Callithrix jacchus: one gene and its partner. The protein of the gene in region 1 purifies or fractionates together with the protein of each later gene. This does not show direct contact. Links are inferred from orthologs where the notes say so. Each region holds a gene or a part of one and is shown on either strand. Other genes may lie near its edges.

Region 1 (4,455 bases):
TGTGGGTTACTCCACTGGCATCTCTGCTCGTTTCCCCATTGCCCTCTGGCCCCCAGCCTCTCCCCACGGAGCACCTTAAAGTGTGACTCCCAGTTGGCCACTCCTAACCCATTAGCCCTGTGCCCCTGCCATGACCCTCCCTGCACCCCCCTCCACTGACTGATCCTTCTTGGACCACTTGACCCAGCTCATCCCCCCCACTCGCTAGTGTCCTCTACTGACCCCTTGTGCCCAGGTGTGTGCCCTCCTTGTCCCTGAAAGCTGGGCCCCATCTTGCTCCCTCTGCACTGTCCTCTCTCTCCCACTCCCAGAGGTCCCAGTGACCATTGTGCGGGGGCCACAGGACCTAGAGGTGACCGAGGGCGACACAGCTACGTTTGAGTGCGAGCTTTCCCAAGCTTTGGCTGATGTTACCTGGGAGAAGGTCAGAGCCCAACCCCAGCCCAGCCGACTTCAACATAACACCAACAATAACAATGCCCTAAGAAATAACTAATACTTCTTCAGCGTGTGTGCCTGGCACCGTGCTAAGATTTGCATTACATTTAATCCCTTACTCCTTACAACTCTAGGAGGTAGGTCTTGTCATTTGTTATCTATGAGGAAACTGATACTCAGTGGGACGAAATTACGTGCCCAAGGGCAAACCAAAGAGGTAGTGCCCATATTTGAATCCAGGTTTGCCTAATTCCAGAATCCGTGACCATGTACCCCTGTGACTGATACCTGGCTCTGGGCTTTCCGTGCACCTTGGCGGCCCTAAGGTCCCCAAAGGGTGACACCTTCTCAAAGAGGTTCCTGGCACGGCCCCGAAGGCGTGGGACAGCCCGATCCCAGCTTGGGAACACGAGATACACATAAACTCGTCTCGAGACCCCTTGGCATCAACAGACGGTGCTGCCGGCCGCGCCCAGCCGTGCCCTCCCCGACCCTCTGCAACTCCCGCCCCTAGGACGGGCGCGCGCTCACTCCAAGCCCGCGGCTCCGGCTCCAGGCCCTGGGCACGCGCCGCCTTCTACAGCTGCGGCGCTGCGGCCCCTCGGACGCCGGGACCTATAGCTGCGCGGTGGGGACGGCCCGCGCCGGGCCGGTCCGCCTGATCGTGCACGGTGGGTATGGGGTGATGCGGGGACTGGGCACTGCTTTGGGCGCGAGACCTGCGGAGCAATCTTCCCGCGACCCTGCTGACCGCGCGTGCTTCTAAAAAGGGGGCGTGGGGGCGTGGCCAGCACCTGCCCTCCGCCCCGCCCCGCTCACGCCCCGGGTCCGCCCCAGACCGCACTGTGGAGGTGCTCTCCGAGCTGCTGTCGGTGAGTGCCCGCGAAGGCGACGGCGCTACGTTCGAGTGCACCGTGTCGGAGGCCGAGACCACGGGGCGCTGGGAGCTCGGAGGCCGCCTGCTGAGACCCGGAGCCCGCGTCCGCATCCGACAAGAAGGTCTGGCCGCCAGGCTACCCTTTCGGGCCCCTCGCTGCCCCGCCCAGGCTCGGACAGACCCCGCCCCGCGGGACAAGCCCCACCTCCGGCTCGGACAGGCCCCGCCTCAAGGCCCCAGAGCCGCGTCCCGGGTCTCTCCTCCGCCCCCAGCCCCGAGTCCCGGACCGCTCCTCTACCCGCCCCGCTCTCCGGTTCCGCCCACCTTAGCGTACACTAACGGCGTCCGAACCGACCCAGGGGCCTGCTGCGGCCCCACCCGCGTCCCCAGCGCTCCTCTGAGGTGGCTCCGGCCTCGCTAGCGACCCCGTCACCCCCAGGGAAGAAACACATTCTGGTGCTGAGCGAGCTGCGCCCCGAGGACGCCGGTGAAGTCCGCTTCCAGGCGGGGCCCGCCCAGTCCTTGGCTCTACTGGAAGTGGAGGGTAAGCACCAGGGGCGGGAGCGACAGGGAAAGAACATCCTCTCCTCTCCTGCCAGGGGACTGACGGACCGGGGGTGGCCCCGGGAACGATGCCTTCCTCTTCCCCTTCCCGCGAAGGGCTCTCCTGGGCCGGGTCACAGAGGGCACCGCGTTTCCCTGGGAAGAGGAGACTTTGGATTTGAGGTGCAAGGGAACGGACCGGTGGCATAGAGGGCTAAGGCCCTGAGTGGAGGCTGCAGGGAGGGAAGATGCGTCTCTTCTCCTGGGGGCCATGTGTGTCCCTATTAACTTAAGCTCCCGCCCCCTACCCTCAGCATTGCCTCTCCAGATGTGCCGCCGCCCCCCTCGCGAGAAGACCATTCTGGTGGGCCGCCGGGCCGTGCTGGAAGTGACTGTGTCGCGCTCGGGGGGCCACGTGTTCTGGTTGCGGGAGGGGGCCCAGCTGTGCCCGGGAGATAAGTATGAGATGCGCAGCCACGGCCCCACCCACAGCCTGGTCATCCGTGACGTTCGACCTGAGGACCAGGGCACCTACTGCTGCCAGGCCGGCCAGGACAGCGCCCACACACGGCTGCTGGTAGAGGGTGAGTAAAGCCGACTGGGAAGAGGCAAGAGGGCGAGGGCACCTGGGAACCGATGGGCTAAGCCACACCTATGGGAGGCTTTCTAGGACTGTGGTGGCGGCAGGTCCTGAAATGTGTTGGAGGTGGGGGTGGGGGAGGGGAGGGATAGAGCACACCCAGGGCTGGAACTGCTTGACTCAGATCAGCTGCTCCTAGTCAGCTGTTCCCACCTTTCTATACCCCTTCCTGCCAGGCTTCTCTCTCTTGCCACTGGACCATGTTTCTCTCTCTTGAACAGCCCCATTTCTACCAGTTCCTCTCCTCTGTACCTCCCTAACACTGCCTGCCTCCAGCCTGTCCCTCCTCCCTCCTGCCCATCGCAGTGAGTTCCATGTCAGCCTTGGCAGAGGCCTCTTTCTTTCCTCTTACACATGTCTCACACGAAGAGACATCCCACCTTCTATCCCAAATCCCAGCATTCCCTCCAGATGCTGAGCTGTGTCCCACCCCTAGCTGACCCCCACCTTCCAAGACAGCCCTGACAGAGGCCCAGAAAGGGTAGGATAGAGCCTGTGGGCCCAGATCTTCCTGTGCTGGTGTCCAGGCTCTGCCTGGGGAGAGGAAGGTGGTACCCACTCTCTCCCCAGCCCCACGTGGAGTCATTCCTCTGCAGGTAACTAGGAGTACCGAACCAGGCCAGGCAGGTGCCCTTGGACAGCTTGGAAGGCGTGTGCCCCTACCCTGGGCAGGGGTGGAGAAACAGGGAGACCAGAGATGTCAGGAAACAATAAAAGTGCTACAGCTCATTCCCTTGGCTCTCTGAGTGATGTGGGAGGGCAGACATTGCCTGTCGCCCCTGTGCAGTGAATGACACTGGGGACTGAGGGCTGTAGTGCTTATACCTGGCCCATGAAAGTGCCAGCCACCAAAGACCACTATTCCTGGCAGAGGCCACGCAGTTTGGCACATTTATAAAAGATGTAAAACAAAGTGGGATGGGGGAGACAGAAGCATGAGGTGTCCAGGTTGGCATGACAGACACCAGACATGCACCGTGCATTTAAGCCCCTCCCCAACTCCCTTCCCAACCCAGCCTGGCCCAGAGCAGCACCCCCCACCCCCATCTCCTGCCACTGCCCTCAGGCTGGTGGCTTTGTAGAGGCCAGGGGACCAGGGTGAGGGGTGCTACAGTTTGCCCCACAGACAAGGACAAGAACCCTTAGATGAGTCTGGCTGGGAGGCAGGGTGATGGGGAGGAAGGCAGCCCCTCCGCGGAGACATGCAGGAGGTGGCCCATGGGACTCCGGCGGGGCGGGGAGGAGGTGGGACCCGGCCTGGAGAAACCCTACCAGTCAGAAATCTAAGGCAAGGGTCACAGTGTCCCCTCCAAGCCTGCCCCCCCACACACACATACACACACACGGGCAACACACTTACAACCCTGAGCACACCCCAATGGGGTTCACACCCCGAGTTCCTCAGGAGCCCCTTGGGAGCTTGGGAGGGGCCTTTCCTCTTAGGCCAAGCCTCGCCTGAGACAACCTCCCTTCTAATGATCAGGCCAGCCCTCTCCAGGCTGGGGAGAGGGACAGCCAAAGCCAGGGGCCTGGGTGACAGCCTGGCAGGCCTCCACGAGCTGGCAGAGCTGGTGACTGCAGAGTCTAGACAGGCAGAGATATGGCTATACCCGCACTGGGGGGCCTGAGCAGGCTGTCAGAGGTCCCCGGGACCCATACTCATAGTCCGCATCTGTGGGTGAGGCCATGAAGGAGCTCAGGGAGCTCCCGGTCTGCCGGTCTCGGAAGCTCTGGATATAACTCTGTGGGGGAGCAAACATAGGTGTGAGAGTCCCACTGCAGAATCCTGCCCTAAAAGCCCCCTCTTCCTGAATCCCCACAAGCCTGACACCCCTACAGACTGCCACAGACTCAGAGTCCACAGTCTTGAGACCCCACCACATACCATAACCCACTTAAAACCCATACTCAGGGTACAGTTCCCCCAAACCCCCCACCAGCTGGACCTGCCAAGCCC
Region 2 (5,430 bases), on another chromosome or scaffold:
GGGTTTCGAAAGTGACACCACCATAACAAAACAAAAACCCCGAGCAGGGCACGAGGAGCTGCGAGTTTTGGGTTGCGGGATGGAGAAATACAGTGGCTCCGCAGGGACCGTCTCGCTAAGATGACATTTGGGCAGAACAGTAGGGACCAGGTGGCAGAGGGTATTTTATAACATTGTAAAGAACTTGGGTCGGGCGCGGTGACTCACATCTGTAAACCCAGCACTTTGGGAGGCCGAGGCCGGTGGATCACCTGAGCTCAGGAGTTTGAGACCAGCCTGGGCAGCATGGCGAAACCGCGTCTCCACTAAAAATACAAAAATTAGCTAGGTGTGGTGGCATGCACCCATAATCTCAGCTACTTGGAGTCTGAGGCACGAGAATCATTTGAACCTGGGAGGTGGAGGTTGCAGTGAGCTGAGATGGTGCCACTGCATTCCAGCCTGGGCAACAACGTGAGACTGCCTCAAAAAAAAAATTAAAAATTTGGCTTTGATTTTGAGGGTGATGGAAGCCATTGGCGGGGATTGAGCTGAGGGGTGGAATGAGGATAAGAAGAACATGGTCCAAGCCTCTAAGAGGAGTTTCCTGATCTGCTTGAGCAGGGCAGCTGCAGAGACAGTTTTTCACTACTCAAGGTGGCAGTCGCAGAAAGGAGCCATGCTAATTTGGGATATGCGATTCCAGTGGTTTTGAAAATCCTGACATGGTTATATTTTACTTTCCAGCCACAGTGGTGTGAGCCTGAGACAGACAGGGCAGTGCACAAGGCCAGGTAGTAGGTGTCAGGAAGGCTCTGCAGCCATAGGCCTGACATGCAAAGGGCAGAAAACTCAGCCCAGGTGCGGTGGCTCATGCCTGTAACCCCAGCACTTTGGGAGGCTGAGTTGGGAGGATCACTTGAGGCCAGGAGTTTGAGGCTGTAGTGAGCTACGATTGTGCCACTGCACTCCAGCCTGGGTGACAGAGCAAGACCCTGTCTCAATTGAAAAAAAAAAACGGGGTGGGCTGGGCATGGTGGTTCATGCCTGTAATCCCAGCACTTTGGGAGGCCAAGGCAGAAGGATCATCTGAGGTCAGGAGTTCAAGACCAGCCTGACCAACATGGTGAAACTCCATCTATACTAAAAATACATAGTTAGCCAGGTGTGGTGGCACATGCCTGTAATCCCAGCTACCTGGGAGGCTGAAGCAGGAGAATCGCTTGAACCTGGGAAGTGGAGGTTGCAGTGAGTCGAGATCACGCAATTGCACTCCAGCCTGGACAACAGAGAAGACTCTGTCTTAAAAAAAAAAAAAAAAAAAAAAAGGAGAAAACTCAGTCTCTATTTCTGGAGGTTAAAAAATTCCCACCCACTGCTCAGCCCCAAAAGTGGTTGAACTGTCAGTGACTGAAAATAGACCTGTTTCAACAGGCCACCCTCCCTCATGCCACCTGATTCATGGTGCTTGGGTGGGTGGGAGGATGGTGCAGATATTCATGAAGCTTGCAAGTTAAGACTTAAATAGCAGGAAAGGCCAAAACTGAGGGGGCTAGCGCTGGGTTATCCGGCGAAGCTGTACCTTAGCATTACCTTTGCTTTTAACTACAGCCCGAGGCAATGGCACCTGCCCTAACTCACATTGGTTGGTGCTGTGAAGACAGGGAAGGTCTGGGAGAGTTCAGTTCTTTCCTGATCAGAATCTTTAAGTCTTCTTTTTTGTCTGAGTAGCTTCTCCGCTCCCCTTGGCCTTCTCAGGCCTTGGAGAACTTTGAAACAACCCTTTGGTTTCATTAAAAAAAAAAAAATTGCCTGTAATCCCAGCACTTTGGGAGGCCAAGATGGGTGGATCACCTGAGGTCAGGAATTTGAGACCAGGCTGACCAATATGGTGAAACCCTGTCTCTACTAAAAATATGAAAATTAGGCAGGTGTGGTGGGCACCTGTAGTCCCAGCTACTTGGGAGGCTGAGGCAGGAGAATTGCTTGAACCCAGGAGGCAGAGGTTGCAGTGAGCCAAGATCGTGCCACTGCACTCCAGCCTGGGCAACAGAGCAAGACTCCATCTCAAAAAAAAGTTTTTAAAAAAAATTTTTATGGGGACATGGTAGGTGGATATAGTTATAGGGTACATGAGGTGTTTTGATACTGACATGCAGTGCATTCTTACATCACGGAAAATGGGGTATCCCCTTTGGTTTCTGTTACATGCTCATCTCATTCTGAGCATATGACTCAAGAACAATAAGCAACCCCGAAGTCATTCACTGGATTTTGAAATCTACTGTGCTCTTTTTTTTTACTTCCTAAAGTACAGCCTTGTATTCCCAGTTATGCTTGTCGTGGCAGAATCAAATTAACTATACCATGTGGCCCAGCAAGCCCACTCCTAGGTATATACCCAAAAGAACCGAAAACAGATATCCACACAAATGCGTGTACGCGAATGTTCACTGCAGCACTATTCACGACAGCCAAAAAATAGAAACAGACCGTATGCCCTCAACAGATGAATGGACGAAGAAAATGTGGTCTACCCAGACAATGGAATATTATTCAGCCATGAAAAGGAATGAAGCACTGATCCAGGCTCCAGTGTGGATGAACCTGAAAAACATGATGCTAAGTGAAAGCAGCCAGACACAAAAGGCCACATAGTGTTCAAGTCTATTTACGTGACATGTCCAGAACAGGCAGATCTACAGAGACAGAAAGCAGATTAGAAGTGGCCAGGTGCTTGAGGGAGGGAAGAATGGGGAATGACGACTGCTGAGGGGACAAGGTTTCCTTTTGAGGTGATGAGAATGTTCTGGAACTAGTGATGATCGCATAATATTGTGAATACACTAAACGCCACTCAATTACATACTTTTAAAATGGATAGTTTTATGTGATGTAAATTTCAATCTCAATTTTTTTTTGAGACAGAATCTTGCTCTGTTGCCCAGGCTTGAGTGCAGTGCTGTGATCTCGGCTCACTGCAACCTCTGCCGCCCAGTTTCAAGTGATTCTTATGCCTCAGCCTCCCAGGTAGCTGGGACTACAGGCACCTGCCACCATGCCTGACTGGTTTTTATGTTTTTAGTAGAGACGAGGTTGTGCCATGTTTGCCAGGCTGGTCTTGAACCTCTGACCTCAGGTGATCTGCCCGCATTGGCTCCCAAAGTGCTGAGATTACGCTGGCGTGAGCCACCTTGCCCAGCTCCTGCCTTGTTTTCTTTGATTAGTGGATCCTGGGCCAATTTGAGCGCCAGAAGTCAAGCCAGACTGGAGCTAGGGACGTCAGAAATCCCTGGTCCTTTGCCTTCTGTTGGAAATTTAGCAAAGCAGGACCTTGGCCAGCTTGGTTCAGTGGACTGTACTTCTCCCCAGCTCTAATATTAGTTTCTGTCTTTCTCGGTGTTCCTGGAGGTGGTTGGGAGGTGGGGAGGACAGAGAGATGGATGTTCATTTTCCCATGTAACAGTTCACTCCCTTTTCTTCCTTATAGTGTTCGAACTGGTCAACCAAGGGTGAGTGTCCCAGCTCCCGGCACGGGTGATGCCAGAAGCTTCACCAGCTGCGTAGCTGAGTGAGGTGCCACCAGGCTCTGCTGGTGAGAGAGGGCAAGGGCTGGGTGGATCTGGTTTGTGCTTCATGCGTGTATCGACCTTGCAGGCCCGTGATGGAAGTGCCCACTCTCAAACCTCTTTCTGAAGACCAGGCCCGTTTCTACTTCCAAGATCTGATCAAAGGCATCGAGTACTGTAAGCGGGGCCTGTGGGAGGACTCTCACCCGGCGGCTAGTTAGTGTTACGAGCTATGGGTGCAGAGTGGAGACTGTCTTATTTTCTTCCTGGAGCACAAGGAGATGGGTGGGTGGACTGGGGTTCTCTAGAGAGACAGAACTAATAGGTTATGGATATACGCACACACACACACAAAGAAGAGTTATTTATTTATTTATTTATTTATTTTTTGAGACGGAGTTTCACTCTTGTTGCCCAGGCTGGAGTGTAATGGCATCATCTTGCTCACTGCAACCTCCGCCTCCTGGATTCAAGTGATTTTCCTGCCTCCCGAGTAGCTGGGATTACAGGTGTGCACCACCATGCCCGGCTATGTTTTTTTTTTTTTTTTTTTTTTTTTTTTTGTATTTTTGGTAGAGATGGAGTTTCTCCATGTTGGTTAGCTGGTCTTGAACTCCCGACCTCAGGTGATCCGCCTGCCTCAGCCTCCCAAAGTGCTGGGATTATAGGTATGAGCCATCATTCCTGGCTAAGGGGAGTATTTTAAGTATTAACTTACAGGATCACAAGGTTCCACAATTGGCTGTCTGCAAGCTTGAGGAGCAAGGAGAGCCCTTCTGACTCTCAAAACTGAAGATCTGGCCAGGCGCGGTGGCTCACGCCTGTTATCCCAGCACTTTGGGTGGCCGAGGTGGGTGGATCACGAGGTCAAGAGATCGAGACCATCCTGGTCAACATGGTGAAACCCCGTCTCTACCAAAAATACAAAAAATTAGCTGGGCATGGTGGCACGTGCCTGTAATCCCAGCTTCTCAGGAAGCTGAGGCAGGAGAATTGCCTGAACCCAGGAGGCGGAGGTTGCAGTGAGCCGAGATCGCGCCATTGTACTCCAGCCTGGGTAAAAAGAGCGAAACTCTGTCAAAAAACAAAAAAACAAAAAAACTGAAGATCTTGGAGTCCGATGTTTGAGGGCAGGGAGCATCCAGCACAGGAGAAAGATGCGGGCTGTGGGGGCTAGGCCTGCCTCACCTTTCACGTTTTTTTCTGCCTGCTTTATATTTGAGGGCAGCTGATTAGATTGTGCCCAGCAGATTAAGGGTGGGCCTGCCTTTCTCAGCCCACTGACTCAAATGTTAATTTCCTTTGGCACCACCCACACAGACACACCCAGGATTCATACTTTGTATCCTTCAGTCCAATCCAGTTGACACTCAGTATTAGCCATCACAACAGGAAGCAAAATTGTGTGAGAGGAAGAATCAGGGCCAGCTGCAGAGAGCCACCCTAGGGCCATGGCCCAGGCAAGCCAAACCCTTCTTACTGCCACTTGGAAAAATGAAGAGCGGTAGCAATAGTGACTATTTAGCACTTTCTGTGTGCACCAGGCACTATTTGGGGCTCTACTTTTTTTGTCTCCTATTCCTTCCAGCCACCCTGGGATCAGGGTCCTGTTAACCTCCTGGAACCTTAGTTTCCTCATCTGTAAAATGGGGATAACGTCTCTCACCCACCAGGGCTGAGAGATCAGCCAGTACACATCAGTGGTTTGATTGGCAGGTGTCCTTTCTGCTTCTACTTGTTAAACATCTTAGCTCTTTTTTTTTTTTTTTTTGAGATTCTTGCCTGTTGCCCAGGCTGGAGTGCAGTGGCGTGATCTCAGCTCACTGCAACCTCTGCTTCCTGGGTTGAAGTGGTTCTTGTTCCTCAGCCTCCCAAATAGCTG

The links.
Region 2: the proteins of OBSL1 (region 1) and CAMKK2 purify together in Homo sapiens (affinity purification with mass spectrometry; 4 studies listed by BioGRID and IntAct, with this or other methods). This does not show direct contact. The link is inferred for Callithrix jacchus from reciprocal best matches to the Homo sapiens genes OBSL1 and CAMKK2.

What each region holds. Positions count from the first base shown.
Region 1 is NC_133507.1:141,291,974-141,296,428, reverse strand, and holds the end of OBSL1 (obscurin-like protein 1), read left to right. Parts: intron 1-311; coding exon 312-424; intron 425-952; coding exon 953-1,109; intron 1,110-1,275; coding exon 1,276-1,437; intron 1,438-1,754; coding exon 1,755-1,859; intron 1,860-2,172; coding exon 2,173-2,442; intron 2,443-2,674; coding exon of another isoform or gene 2,675-2,715; exon of another isoform or gene 2,716-2,719; coding exon 2,720-2,916; 3' UTR 2,917-3,094; coding exon of another isoform or gene 3,095-3,102; 3' UTR 3,103-3,227; downstream 3,228-4,455. Other genes in the region: TMEM198 (transmembrane protein 198), read right to left, coding at 4,103-4,240. UniProt on the Homo sapiens protein: Core component of the 3M complex, a complex required to regulate microtubule dynamics and genome integrity. It is unclear how the 3M complex regulates microtubules, it could act by controlling the level of a microtubule stabilizer.
Region 2 is NC_133510.1:124,467,527-124,472,956, reverse strand, and holds part of CAMKK2 (calcium/calmodulin-dependent protein kinase kinase 2), read left to right. Parts: intron 1-3,469; coding exon 3,470-3,491; intron 3,492-3,636; coding exon 3,637-3,725; intron 3,726-5,430. UniProt on the Homo sapiens protein: Calcium/calmodulin-dependent protein kinase belonging to a proposed calcium-triggered signaling cascade involved in a number of cellular processes. Isoform 1, isoform 2 and isoform 3 phosphorylate CAMK1 and CAMK4. Isoform 3 phosphorylates CAMK1D.